Linked DNA regions of Rhinolophus ferrumequinum. The protein of the gene in region 2 interacts with the protein of the main gene of each other region in a pairwise test. Links are inferred from orthologs where the notes say so. Each region holds a gene or a part of one and is shown on either strand. Other genes may lie near its edges.

Evidence for each region.
Region 1: the proteins of ACY3 (region 2) and PMM2 interact in binary tests that used the Homo sapiens proteins (3 or more experiments, as listed by UniProt). The two-hybrid records come from large-scale screens. The link is inferred for Rhinolophus ferrumequinum from reciprocal best matches to the Homo sapiens genes ACY3 and PMM2.

The regions. Positions count from the first base shown.
Region 1 is NW_022680357.1:9,030,192-9,037,077, reverse strand, and holds the start of PMM2 (phosphomannomutase 2), read right to left. Parts: upstream 2,920-6,886; coding exon 2,854-2,919; intron 1-2,853. Other genes in the region: TMEM186 (transmembrane protein 186), read left to right, coding at 2,918-3,181, 4,231-4,866. UniProt on the Homo sapiens protein: Involved in the synthesis of the GDP-mannose and dolichol-phosphate-mannose required for a number of critical mannosyl transfer reactions.
Region 2 is NC_046294.1:4,657,773-4,664,941, reverse strand, and holds the start of ACY3 (N-acyl-aromatic-L-amino acid amidohydrolase (carboxylate-forming)), read right to left. Parts: upstream 3,001-7,169; 5' UTR 2,875-3,000; intron 2,478-2,874; 5' UTR 2,339-2,477; coding exon 2,103-2,338; intron 1,400-2,102; coding exon 1,204-1,399; intron 957-1,203; coding exon 863-956; intron 729-862; coding exon 621-728; intron 432-620; coding exon 322-431; intron 1-321. UniProt on the Homo sapiens protein: Plays an important role in deacetylating mercapturic acids in kidney proximal tubules. Also acts on N-acetyl-aromatic amino acids.

The sequences.
Region 1 (6,886 bases), on a different chromosome or scaffold from region 2:
GACAAAGAGTCAACAAAATACCAACTATGGGCCAGAATCAGCCCTGCTGCTTGTCTCTGTGAAGCATGACTGGCACACAGGCATGTCCACTCACTTCTGGTTACAACATCCGAGTTAAGTAGTTGTGACAGTAGTTGTGCCACATGGCCTGCGAGGCCTCAACTACTTACTATCTGGCCTTTTACAGAAAAAAGTTTGCTGGTCTTTGGGTATTAAACCCTAGGGAATTGGGGATAGTTTTTTGTGGTGTGATGAAGATACTGTGGTTACGATACACGTCCTAAAGAGATGCAGGCTCAAATATTTAGGGGCGAAATAGCGTGATGACTATAGCTTAGGAAGTGGTACAGCAAAGATTAAAAAACAAAAAGAAGATAAAGCCAATGTCAACCACTGTGGAATTTAAGTGGTAGGGATATGGTTCTTCTGTGTACTGGTTTTTTAAGTGATTCTGCATGTTTGAAATTTTTCATCATAGAAAGTTGGAAAGCAACTCACCTAGATTTACGTCTCCCTTCTTTGTGTAGGCTCAACTGTTTTTAGGTAGAATGACATTTCTTGGGAGTGTTTAGTACAACAGACTTCTAGGAAAACAGTGAAATGGGCAAAGCTCAGGATTCTAATGAGAATTCACCTGTTTAGGTCACATCCTGTTTTAGCAGCTGTGAGAAATAATAGCTAGTCTTCTGCTTCCTGACTGTACTGTGCTTATCAGTGTTTGAGAACGCGTGTGTCAAGGAAGGGAAAAGCTGGATAATGAATAGATCTGTTGCGAAAATATTTTTATTTTTTACGAAGAGCACCCAGCACACAGAAACAATTCTCTCTTAATTACAGACTTTTTTGAGTGTTAAAATTATTTATTTTCACTGCAATGAATGTTGTGTTTCAAATGTTTGAAGGGAATACATTGTGGGTTGCCTGGTTTTGTTGCTATTTCATTCCTTATGCTTATATAACCTGATTCCTTCTGGGAGTCAGAGCACTTCCCCGAATGACATATCCAGCAAGCAGAATAGCTGCCACCTTAGAACAAGAGCAGAAAATGGTACTCTTAGTAAGTAACAATGCCCTGAGGCCCAGCGACAATCGTGCGTTTGTTTCCTTATGCTTAAAATAGTAGTAACAACTATCCTACCTGGGATGAAAGGAGAAAGTTTGAAAATGTCCAATCGTATTGTGTAAAGAGGCTTGGCATATCAACCCTAGACCATTACAGCCAACGAACCAAACTGAGCAGCTGTTTTTGTGGTAAGTGAATAAAGTTTTACTGGAACGTAGCCACGCTGTGTCTACATATGGTCTATGGCTGCTTTTGCATTAAAGCTGAGTAGTTACTACAGACCTTACGGTTGGCAAAGACAGAAGTATTTGCTATCTGACTCTTTACAAACAATGATTGCTTGGCTTTAGACCACTATGGGTTTTTGACAACCCACAACTGTGTTTTGATCACTGAATCTCAGAGTCAAAGGGGACCTTTGGAGAACTTGCAGTTGAATATCTTCACTAGATATATCAAACATGTGGCCCCGAAAGGTAAAATGACATGTCGAAGGTCACACACATGTGCTGTGGAATTCTGCAGCACACCACTGCTACCACCCAGCCAAAACCAAGGGAGGTAAGGATAGAACCTGAAGCTAGTGAGGCCATTTGGGCCCAGTCTCAAGTGCGAATGGCTGATGTTCGGTGACCAGTTTGTGCAAGGGGGAGGTCAGAAGGTGCTTCCTCACAAATGTTGATCTTAACTGAAACCTGTATGTGCCTGGAGTAACAAAATCTGAACGTGGGAAGCAAGTTTCCAGGAGTCCTAGGAGGCTCTCAGCAGGCAGCCTGTAACAATCTAGGTCTCCTCAACCACCCCAGCCTATTCTGAGGGCTGGTGAAGACAGTAATGGAGGCGGCTAATTTGTATTATTACTGAACACAGCCTACTGTGTGCCAAGATACTTTCATGAACTTGTTTGATTTCATTCAACCCTCACAAACACCACATGGGAACAGGTAATGTCCCCATTTAAAGTCCTAGATGCCGAGGCTAGGTAACTTGCTCAAGGTCACACAGCTGTTAAGAGGTAAAGCTGAGAACCTACTAGGTCTTTTCCACCTGAAAACCTATGTGATATTTTCATAACAGGCTACAAAGCACAGCCCATAGGTGACAGGACTGAGGAGGGCACATGGCTGTAAGCGGGCTGAGCTGGGGTTCAAACCCAGGGCTTGCAGTGACAGTCCAGAACTGCGTTTTCCAACCCAATACAAGTTTCTTGCTCTCAAGAAATTTTCGGCCCTGTCCCATCTCCAAGTACCCTGAGTGATGCGACAGGTAAAGAGTTAACGGGAACGAGAGTTAACAGGAGCTTGAGAGTTAACAGGAACGAGCTTAAAAACTAACTGCTTGGCTCTGAATCCCCCCCAACCCCCAGCTAGCTGTGGGAATAGAACGGTTCCCAGAAGAAACCAATTATAACGGCAACCCCTGCAAGCTGACAAGCACCCCACATCCCTGCATAGAAAAAAGTAAAACTCCAACATAGCTTCTCATCGGTGCAGCAGTCTACTCTAGACTGCCCCCCCGCCCCCCGCAACTCCTCTGTCGGTGCTTCTCTCCTTAAATAAACAGACACCGGCTGCCGCCGGCTACTCTTTCGGCAGCCGCGCGCGACCACGATACTGAGGTCTTCCGTCTCATCCCTCCAGGTCCCCCACTATAGACTTCAGCTCCGCCAGAAAAGGTAGGCGGTCCTTAGCCCCCCCCGCCCCACGCACACCCTGGGGGGTCGTTAGCCCCATTAGGGAGCAGCAGGAGGCTCCGCAGCCTTTGCCTCCAGCCTGCCGGGCGTCGCCTACCTGCCGCGGAGCCGTCAGGGTCCCGTCCACGTCGAAGAGGCAGAGCGCCGGGCCGGGCAGAGCCATGTCCCCAGATTCCACACCGCATCTACTAGGACTCGCTGGCTCCGGAACCTCGGCCCGGAACTTCCGGGTTCGGCCTCCGTGCGGCAAGGCACGCTGGGAGGAGGAGAATCCCCTCCCACAGTGCCTGGGACTAGCTATTCTCACTGGACCACAAATCCCAGAATACAATGCGTCCACTGAGTCCTGCTTCGGCCGAGCATGCGCTCTTAGCGATCCCGGGGGCAGGTGGGATTCGCTTACGACAGCTGGCAGCAGAACCATGGTAAGAAGGAGGGTGGTGGGAACTGAGGGAATTGACGCGCTTTTGGGGTCGGAGTCAGGCCGACGCCTGGGGTTGTGATTCGGGGAAAGCGCGCGGGAGAGGCCTCCGGGGTGGGTTACGATTTCTTATTCCCGGGCTTCCTGTGCACTCAGGTCACGTGGGTCAACAATAGCAATAACTAAAACTCACTGTGTAGCAAGTTTATCAAGTCCATCAAGTGCATTTGAGGCCTTTAAAACCATTATCTCATTCAGTATGTTCTGAATCCCCATTTCAAAGATGAAGAAACTGAGGCCCAGAGAGGTGGAGTAACTTGTCCACGCATCCACAGCTAGTGACTTTAGGTGTCAGGATTGGAACCCAGATCTGTTGATTGGAACCTAGATCTGATTCCACAACCCAAAGCATCTTTCATTGCACTACTCAAGGTGTAGAACTGGGCCCCTGCTAAAATCCTTGTGCTTCCATCCTTCCCTCCTCTTCCATTCCTTCCCCCTCTCCAAACAAGGCTAAGAAAACACCCAGATGACTCTTTAACCTGACAAGAAAGTCAAAAAGTTATTATACTATATAGCTCACGAATTTGTTGTCCACAGGACATTGACTGTTTAGTTTCCTGCTTGGGGAAGTGTTCACATAGCCTTATAGTTCCAGCGCCCAGCCCAGAGTAGGCTCTCCCTAGGTATTTGTTAAATGAATGAAGGCTGCACCTCCTTTCCTATACCTACTTGAACTGCCTGGAGGAAAGAGGGCCAGTGTGAGAGTCAGACTCTGCCCCACTCACTAGCTGTGTGTCTTTGGGTAAATTTCTTACTTCTCTGGGCTTAGTTTCCTCACTGGTAAAGTGGAAGTAGTGGTTCCTGTCTCACACAGCTTTTGTGAAGATCACGTGAGGTAAAGCATCTGGGTTTACCTTTCCTCTGGCTTTGGCAATAGTGGTGACCTTACAGGGTTGGTGGGAGCCTCCATGTAAGATCTTTGCCGATGTTGGTTGTGTCACGGGCACGGTTGAGTTCTTTGAGAGAAATGGTCTCCTGTCTCCCTTCCAGGCTGTCCTGCTCCGAGCTGTGCCGCGGTGGCCAGGGCCAACCGTGTGGGGAAGGCCACTCTACCATCTGTGGTACCGCAGTGGGCAGGATCCTAGGAGGTGCGTGGGGAGCAGGTCGGCCACCTCGAAGGAGAGACCACTGGGCACAGAGACAGAGAAATTCCACATGGTCTACCGTTTGGATGCCATCAGAGCCTTTGGGTACTTGTCTCAGCTGAAGGTGGCACAGACGGCCCTGACGGTGGTGGCCCTGCCACCTGGCTTCTACTGGTACTCCCAGGGCCTCATGACTCTCAACTCCCTGTGCCTTGTGGGTGGGATAGCTGGCTTCGCCCTGACCATGCTGTGTTGGATGAGCTATTTCTTCCGGAGGCTGGTGGGTATCCTGTACCTGAACGAGTCAGGAACCGTGCTGCGGGTGGCCCACCTGACCTTTTGGGGCTGGCGGCAGGACACTTACTGCCCAGTGGCTGACATCATCCCCCTGGCAGAAACCCAGGACCGGCCTCAGGAGCTATTCGTGCGGATCCAGCAGTACAGTGGGAAGCAAACCTTCTATCTTACCCTGCGCTATGGACGCATCGTGGACAGAGAGCGTTTCACGCAGGTGTTTGGGGTGCTGGACACGCGCAACTGAACATCTGGACGCTGGGCTTCCGGGTAGCACTGGGCTGCCTGGATCTCTGACAGAAGCCTGAGGGTGTGAGTGAGGCTAAAGAAGGAGATCTGGCAGTTGGAGACTTTGCCAGGGCCCCTGGGAACTTGTGCTTTGGGATGAGAACGTTCACCAGGTGGATGCTAGTCACCTGGTTTAGGAAAGAGGCCCGTGGTGCAAATTCTTACTGCGCCGTCGGTGACGTTGGTAGGTAATGGCCAGAAGTGGCTGTTTTGGAGGAAGCTATGCCAACTTCACTCAGTACAGTGCAGTGAAGTGGGAAGAGAGGTGTGGCCAGGGGAGCATAGGACTAGGAGTCAGAAGACTTGGGTTCTGTTCTGTCTGTTCTCAACTCCCTGTCCTGGGGCAGGTAAGTCAGTCTCTGAACCTTGGTTTTGCATTTTTTAAATGGAAACTCCTGCCTGTCTTGTGAGATGGGTGTGAGAATAAACAATAAATGTCAAGTGCTTTGCAAACTCAACAGGTGGGAGCAAATATTAAGCGTTAGTTAATTCAGAGGTGATGGTGCAATGGACCCAGCAGGAGACGGGACTTGAGATGAAGCCTAGCGCTGGGTCCTTTCATTCTGCCAGGACAGTAGCTGCACAATGACTGGGGCAGCAGTGTCATCCCAGAGAGCACAGCACTCCTGCCGGGACCATGATCACTACCCAGAGGTCTAGGGGCTCTCACGTCAGACGCCTCTGTGGACTTTGTGTTCCTGGGCCAATTTTTGCCTAAAGAATAAGTTCTCAAGCCCTGGCTCCATGTGCCGAATCACCTGGAGAGCTATTTACAAATAGGTCCCCCAGGTGATTTTCATGTGTAGCCTGGGTCGATAGTCGCTGCCCCGAAGTGTCACCACACTGGGGGATGAGTGCTGGCTTCTCACCAGCCTTGACATGAAAACCTTCACGTCGACGTGTGATCTGCTCACGCAGTACCAGCAGAGGGCACAAAGAGTAAATGCATTATCCATCCCATTATTCCCGAGCTAAAGTCACAGATCTCCACGTGACAGTGGCAGTCGGCTTAGGGCTCCTGCAATGCACGTAGGGCAGCACTTGGGAGCTGTCCAAAAAACCCCCAAAGCAACATCAGCAGAGACAACAAAACTCGCCTGTGTTCAGCCCCTGTAGATTCTGGTAGAAGCTGGGTATCTATTTTTATGCTTCCCGGGTAATTCCAAGGCACCCCAAGTTTTGAGGATCCTTGTGTGGGGTTTACCCTTCTTCTCCAAAGCCATGCAGCAGCTTCTCAGCAAAATGGAAGTGGTCTTTAGATTCAGGTGGTGGGGATACTGGCAATTTCCCCCTTTGACAATTCCAAAATGGTAACCTAATAGAAATACCCAAGCACACATAGCAGGATGTTCACTGAATGTTTCTAATGGCAAAACAAAACAATAGCACAGATGAAACTGGAAGTAAACTAAGTTTCTACCAGTGGCAACACGGTTAAGTAAATGGTGGATCCAATACTATGGGGTATTACACGGCCCTTGAAAAGAGTGAGATTGAACTATCTGCCGACATGGAAAGGTGACCATGGGGTAGCGTTACCTGGAAAAAACAAGTCACAGAACATAGTTTTGTGTGATCTTGTGTTTTGAAAAAAATGCATGCATTACAAGGTGTTAACAGTGGTTAGTTACCTCTGGGGAGAGAACTGGAGGTGAATGAGGTGAAGGGCAGGCTTCCAATTTTAACTTTATAACCTAGTATCGTTTAAAATTTTCGTAATGAGCATGTCATCTGTCATAACAAATGAAGAAAAATGCTGTAATAAACAGTTTCTTTTTCCATTCTTTCCTCCTCAACATCAGCTTTTTACCGAGTTTCCCCGAAAATAAGACTGGATCTTATACCGTATTTTCCTGAAAACTGGATTTTATATTAATTTTTGCTCCAGAAGAGGCATAAGGGCGTATTTTCAGGGCATGTCTTACTTTTTCATGTACAACAATCTACATTTATTCAAATATAGTCATCTTGTGGAACAT
Region 2 (7,169 bases):
TTCTGTGGCCAGGAGAGGTGTCTCCGGGCTATTGAGGAGCCTCTGGTGTCTTCCACAGGCACTGTGAGTGTCACTGGGGCCCAGAGCTCCAGGCTCGTGTGCCGGGTTCCCGGAGAGGCATGGGGGCCCAGGCTACCGTCCTGCTCTTGATTCTAAGATGGTGGTGACTCTGTGGGAGGCTCTGTGGTCCCTGCCTCTGGGCCTTGGCTTTCGGACGCCCCCCCCCCCCCCCCCGCCTCCCCCCCCCCCCCCCCCCCCCCCGCCCCAAGGCTGTGAGCCAGGAGGCCACAATCCATAGGAGGCCACACTCCACACACATACCTGCAGCTGAGGATGCACCGTGCCTGCCAGGTCCCCCGCCTCCGTGCGTGGGAAGTCCATGCCCCTAAGGACTCGATATGCTTCCATCTCAAAGGCAGGAAAGGCTGTGCCTGTGCGGGGCGTGGGGGGTAGGCTGCATCCATGAGCTTGTCCATCCCTCCAGGCCCCAGGGCAAAGTGGGCTGTGAGGGACCCTCAGGACTCGTTCCCAGCCCACCCAAAAGCCTGGCTCCTTAGCCCCTGGGCCAAGCCCCCTCCTCTTTGGGCCTCAGTTTACCAGCAAATCCTGGGGGGTCTCACCTTGGTTGAAGAGCTGGATGAAGTCCAGAGCTGCAGCCACCAAGGCCCTCATCCTGGTGAAAAGGTCAGCCCGCAGCACGCCCTGAGGCTGGGGACCCAGCTCCAGGGCTGGGGACCAGGAAGGAAGGGGTCAGGCAAGTGCCCCAGAGAGGGGGGATGCCGGACCCCAGGCCCCTGACACCGCCCATCATCTGGCCCCGCACTTCCCAGCCCCGCCAATTTCTCCCAAGGTCGTGGCACACCCATTCCGTTCTTGGCCACTGAATTCAGGCTACCACTCTCCTCCTTGGGCAGCTTGTATAGGATGACCCGGCAGGGCAGCTCCGGGCTCAGCATCTGTGAGCAGAAGGGTGGGTCAGGGCCCCAGGAGGGGAGATGGGGAGTCACATAGAGACAGCACAGGGCACCACCTGGGGAAGTGGGGTGAGGGGTCCAGAGGGCCTGGGGTATCTGCGGGTGGCCGGCCCCAGGGACAGGAGCCCAGGGAACCACCTCCTCCGCACCCCCAGCCACGGAGGCACCAGAGCCATTGGTGTTCTCTTCCCAACCTCCCTCGCTCCGCAATCTGGGGGCACAGGGCCACCTGTAGGTGGCGGTACAGGTGCATCGCAAAGACATTGTGGGCGGTGTCCACGATGAGGCAGGTGCCCATGTTGGCTGTGGTGTTGTGCAGGTCGAGGACAAAATCAAAGGCCCCGCCTGAGGCCATAGGCCCCAGCAGCTGGTTCAGCTCTCGGGCCCTTGTCACCTCGTATGGGTCATCTGGGTGGGCCCTGGCACTGCAGGAGTAGGGGTAGGGTATCAGCCACTGACAGGCTCTGTCAGAGAGACAGAGCAGCTCAGGGACTCATCCCTCGTGCCTCTGTGGCATGCCTGTCTTACCCAGAGCCCTTCTTGGCTCCCCACTGCTCCCGTAAAGTTCAAACCCTCAACCTGGTCTTGCCAGCCTGCCTTATCAGCGCTCACTCCAGCCACACTTCTTAGCACTGTGCTGGTCTCACTGCCAGACCTTTGCACCTGCTGGGCCCTTCCCTGGAAACTCCTTTTCTCTTCTCTTCACATGGTTAACTTCTAAATCACCCTTTAGGGTTTGGCTGAGATACCACCTCCTCCAGGAAGCCCTCCCTGACTACCCGTAGCCAGGTTAGATGCTTTGTGTTGCCCCCACCCCTGCATTTAGCCTCCTGGGTTGTGGTTGCTGAGTTTATCCTGTCTCCCCCAGTAAGCTGAAGATAACACCTTGGTCCTACTCCCCATTCTCAGAGGAGGCCCTGACCCACTGTGGTATCAGGAAGGGCTTCCTGGAGGAGATGACATCAATCTGGATTTCCCTAAATTGAAAAAGGAAGAATGGGCATTGAGAGCAGAGGGGTGTGCGCTGCTGGTGGCTGGAGGAAGAATTTGAGGTGAGGACCTCGGTGCCAGGCTAACGGGCTGGGCCATCCTGGCAGGCAGGGGCCCCAAAGCCGCGAGGACACTTACGTGAGGAAGGTGTTGGTGAAGGTGCGATTGAGGTCACGGTCCATGTAGCGACGGCAGGCGGCTGTGGCCGCCGGGTTGGCCAGCACAGGCATGGCAGAGAAGCTGGGTCTCTGCAGCTCCCCCGGGGCCCGCAGCCAGTGCTGGGCCAGGCAGACGCCAGACATCTCATTGCCGTGGGTGCCCCCGGTCACTGCCACGCGGCGCAGAGGCTCTCGAGGCACAGGCAACGAGCACATTCTGGTATGCGGTGAAGGACCTGGTGGGCGGACCTGCTGAGGCGACTCCAGCACAGATGTAGAGCCCAGTGCTCAGAGCCAGGATAGTGGTGGTGAGCTCCCTGAGGTCTGACGAGTCCAAGCCGGGCAGGGCAGCTGCCTGTCAAAAAGTATGGCTGGCTGGTAGCTCGGCTGAGTCCCACTGCACCTCCATGGCTCAGCTCAGGGTTTGTCCCTCCTGGTGCCTGCAGCCCCTTTAGCACCCTTCCTGGGAGGGCACCCTGCTTTTCTGTGAGACCATTTTACTGCTCCCTTCGGAGAGAAGGCATTTCTTCCTCATAAGTTGGGGCAGTGGATTCACCGAGACACACACCCTATAACAAAAGGATTAGGCTCCCATTCTATAGATGGGGAAACCAAGGCATAGGATGGGAAGCAGAGAACATCACGTGCATTAGCTATGGAGCTTCAGGGTTCCAGGTGACATCTGCTCCTTCCTGCCCCTCCTGCGTGCTCCTCTGAGCCAGTGCAGGGACCTCAGGGAGCGGGGTGGTTACCTGCTGATGGGGGTCTGGGCTTCCTGGCCTGCCAGGGCTGGGCTGCCCCTCCTAGACTGGCTGGTATTTATGGGGCTGGAGATCCCTGGGCAGGAAGTGTTTGCCACAAATTGGTGGCGAGCAGGGAGTGGGTGGTGCGGGTTGAAGTCCAGCCAGAGGTCAGGAGCTCTGTGGTCTCCCCACCCAGCTCCACCCCACACTGCCACTGGCCACGGCCACAGTCCACTGCGTTCAAGCCTGTAGCCAGGCTTGGATCCTTGCCCCCACCTCCCAAAGTCAAGTAGGGCCCCCACTTGGAAAATTACTTGCAGGGAATCTTTAAGGCTTGGGATGAAGATGAGCTTCTCCCGAGAGCGCCTCAGAAGGCGGTCCAGCATGGACTGTTTACTGTGTCGGGGTCCAGCCAAGGCCGGCGGGCCTGGAATGCAGCCTTTGATCCACTGACTGGGCCGTAGGCCACCACCAGCCCAGGCTGCTGCGTTTCCTATTAAGACGTGTGCCTTGGCAGCTGCCCCACCCCTCTGTCCCCTCGGCAACGTGCTTCTGCCCTTGCAGCCCCCAGAGGAGCAGGGGTAACTCAGAGATTCATCTTGCTTTGTTTTGGAAGTGACCGTCAGACCCACTTCACAGATGTGAACCTGGGGCTCAGACAGAATGCCCAAGGGCACACAGGGCACTAGAGCAGAGCTGGAGCTGGCACCTGGGGGTGTCCAATCTGAGCCCACCTTCTGGGCCTGTCCCTCCCCCAGGCTTAGAGTTGGTGTGAGGGTTAAATGGGATCACATGCATTTAGGGCCCAAGGGTCCCCACTCCAGGGTACAGTGGAGTCCAGACTCATGTAAGTGATGCCAGCGTGGGGCCCAGAGGCCCTGGCTGCAGAGGGGTTCCTGACCACACATCTCCCAGAGCTCCCCAGGGCTCTGTCATGGCCTCAGGGACGGTCCAGAGGTCACTGAGGAGAGAGGCAGAGCCAGGCAGAGCTGGGCAGTGAACTGTCCCCCACCGTTTCCCCCCTGCCATCCCCAGGCATCTGGTCTCAGGCCTTCTTCGCTCCCAGACTTAGTCCTCCCAGGCTGGTTCATCCCTGGCCAGAACCAGGCCCACCAGCTGGCATTTCCGGTGGCCAGGCCCCTCCAGGCCAACCCTCTTTGCAGCTGCGCAGATCACATTCAACTCATGGTGAAGCCTGGGCCTGCCTCTGCTGTCCTGCCCTCCACCCTTATCATGGGGAAGGTGGCTCCCCTCAGGGCAGTGGGTACCTTAATAGGATAGCTGGGCAGGGGTGATGAAGTGTGAAGCCGGGTCTCCAAGGGAGCGGGGTCCCCTGGTACCTCCTGGAGGGGAGGACCCCCTCCTAGGGTCTGGACGGCAGCAAAGGGAGGGCAGAGACCACCATCAGGGTCATTGAATCTTCACCTGCATTGGCCCTGGAGGGCAGGCAGCGAGGCGCGTTTCACAGTACGGACCTGGGCTCTAGGAGGTGGAATGACTTGGCCGAAACTGGTAGGTGACGGTGGAACAAGTCAGCAGGCGAGCCTGTGTCTGTCTCCCTCCCAGTCCCAGCTACCCACATACTCTGGGCAGAGGCCTCAGGGCCCGCGGTTGCTCCAGAAGCCATGGTCTCCAACAGAGAGGCTGCCCGCTCTGCCGGGATTCTGCTGACTTGTTGCTGGCCTCTTAGGGAGGAAGGAAGGGCCTACTCAGCAGACCTGGCTATTTTTGGGGGTCCTGGGGGCTGGGGAACTTTCTGCCAGGAGGTGCTGGGCCCCCAACTCTGGGGAGGAGAGCAATAGGGGGTCCTGCAAAGTTTCACTTCCCTGGGTGGGGTCCAGCTTCCCTGTTTCAGAGGGTGTATACAGAATGGAAGGGGGTCCGGGAGCCGGGGCAAGAACCCCCAGAAACAGCAACCCCCAATCCCAACTGAGTGCATGTGTGTGTGCGTCGTGGATCTGTGTGTTCACATCTGTGCCATGTGTACCGACGTGTGTCTGTGTTGCAGTAGCGAGAACAGTTGAGGTGGGCCTTCTGAGTCTCACCTCTAAGCCCAGGAAGTAGAGGGGTCCCCCGACCCCCTTGGCTCTGACACCCATTCCTGACAGGCTGTGTGACTTGGGGAGAGTCAGTGCCCTCTCTGGGCCTCGGCTCCTCCTGAAATGGGAGTGAGGCTCTCTTCCAGCCCCGGGTAGCTGTGAGGAGTGAGGGCGCACCCCAAGCTTGGAATAGGCACACGCACGGCAGACCCTGGCAGGGCCAAGGGCAGCGACATTGTGTCAACGCGGCCAACGTCGTCACCACAGTTGGGGAAACTGAGGCCCAGAAAGAGGTTAAGACCTGAGCCAACCCACAAAATTGTAAGGCTTGGCCCAGGAGAGCCATGTGACGTGAGAGCTACTCCTATGGGCCACTGTCCAGTGGCTTTGGAGCTCCTGCCTGCCTGCCCTCCGTCCTCCCCAGGCTCTAACTCCCTCTTTGGCCTCTGCTCACTCCCCATCTGCTGTCTTTTCACAGCACCCTCGTCACAGCCTGTTCCTCCATCCCAACCCCCCACCAGGACCACCCTGTCCAGTTCATCCCACTGGCCTGGTGTTCTGGGGTGGGGATGAGAGGAGGACACCTCATATTGTAGTTTTTCTTAATGGCCCCACTCTAGACTACGGCCAGTTACCACAGTGGAACCTGCACCTACGGCTGAAGTTGACCCCTGAGCCCGGAGGGACCCTGGGATGGCCCCTAAGCCTCGGGCGGCAGAACACCACTGCTGGACAAGGAGAGGCTGCTGTCCCAGACCTTGAGGCCATGACAGAGCCCTGGGGAGTGTGTGGTAAGGGGCCCCTCTGCAGCCAGGGCCTCTGCCCAACGCTGGCTCGGCTTACATAAGAGTCTAGATTACACCGCATCCCAGAGTGGGGACCCCAGGGCCCCAGACATACGTGATCCCATATAACCCTCACACCAACTCTGTGAGGTAGGTGGGAACCCCATTCGACAAGATAAGAAAACAGAGGCTCAGAGAAGTGAAGGGTCTTGTCCAAAGGCACCCAGTCACGATGTGGCCGTGAAGCCATGTGAACCCAAGCTTCCTAGGTGGTGGCGCTACTGCAGGAAAGGGTCGGGTGCTCTGTGAGCCAGACTAGGCCACTGAGACGTCTGGAATGTGAGCTGCATTCCTGGGGGAGGCAGTGCCTGAGTGGAGGTGGGGGAGGGGCAGAGGTCAGCGGGAGGGAGAACTGGGAGGAGAGAGCCACTGTGCAGAAGCCTGGAGGGGCTTGAGGCTCTCTGATCTGTGTTTAGGACACAGACTTTGTGTGCTGAAAAGCAGGACACAGACTTTGTTCTGTGTATGGATGACACCGCCTCCAGGTCTGGGCCTGGTCAACCATGACTGAGAGAGAAAAGGGCTGGAATTGGGAAGGGCGGTGTGAATAGGGGCTGCTGGACATATTCGTGGTCTCTCCTGAACAGCCTCCCCAGGGTGGAAGGGAGAACATGCTCTCAGCTTCCCTTACGGCCAGGATGCAGTCATGTGACTCCATTTTAGTAGTCAGCGGCCACCGAGACTCAGGCATTCTGGGACTGCCCTCCCCACCCCCAGTGGGCCCCCCCGAGCCACATTTCCCTTGGAGGCTTTGCCCTGTCTTTGAACCACAGCAACCAATGGCCAAGAGGACACAGGGAACAAGATTAGGTGTGGTGACAGCAGTGAAATTTCCAGTCTTCACTGGGCAGAATCTTCTGTTCTTTGCTCACTGGGCTCACTCCCCATGGCCTGGAGATGCTCTGATTCTTTTCAATCCCTCTGGCTCTCTGTTCAGTCCGATGGCCATTTGGAGGAAACAGCTTCCCGTGGCAGGGGTGGGGAGAGTGGAAATCTCTCAGACCCAGGCCCACTGGTCACTCATCTTCTACCCGGGCCACCTACCCGTCCAGCCGTTCATCCACCACCCCACCCGTCTAGCCGTCACCTCATGCATCCATTCAGCCAGCCACTCGCTTGCCCTTCTACCCACTCATTAACACCTCCATCTATCCATACAACTATACATCCGTCCTCTCACTTCCTTACTCATTCTTTCCTTCACTCATCAACAAGCCCTGTTAAGCACCTCCTTTGAGCCCACTTCGTACCCTTTTGGAGACAACTATCCCCAACAATTCCCAGAGGAACAGGAAAGTCATATTTTCCCTTTTTCCCCTCAAACCTCAAGCCACTAGCCCAAGTTTTTCCATGGCTCTGAGGGGTGAGGAGCCCACTGAAGCAAGACTGGGGGGATCGGGAGGGGACTCCCAGTTTCAGG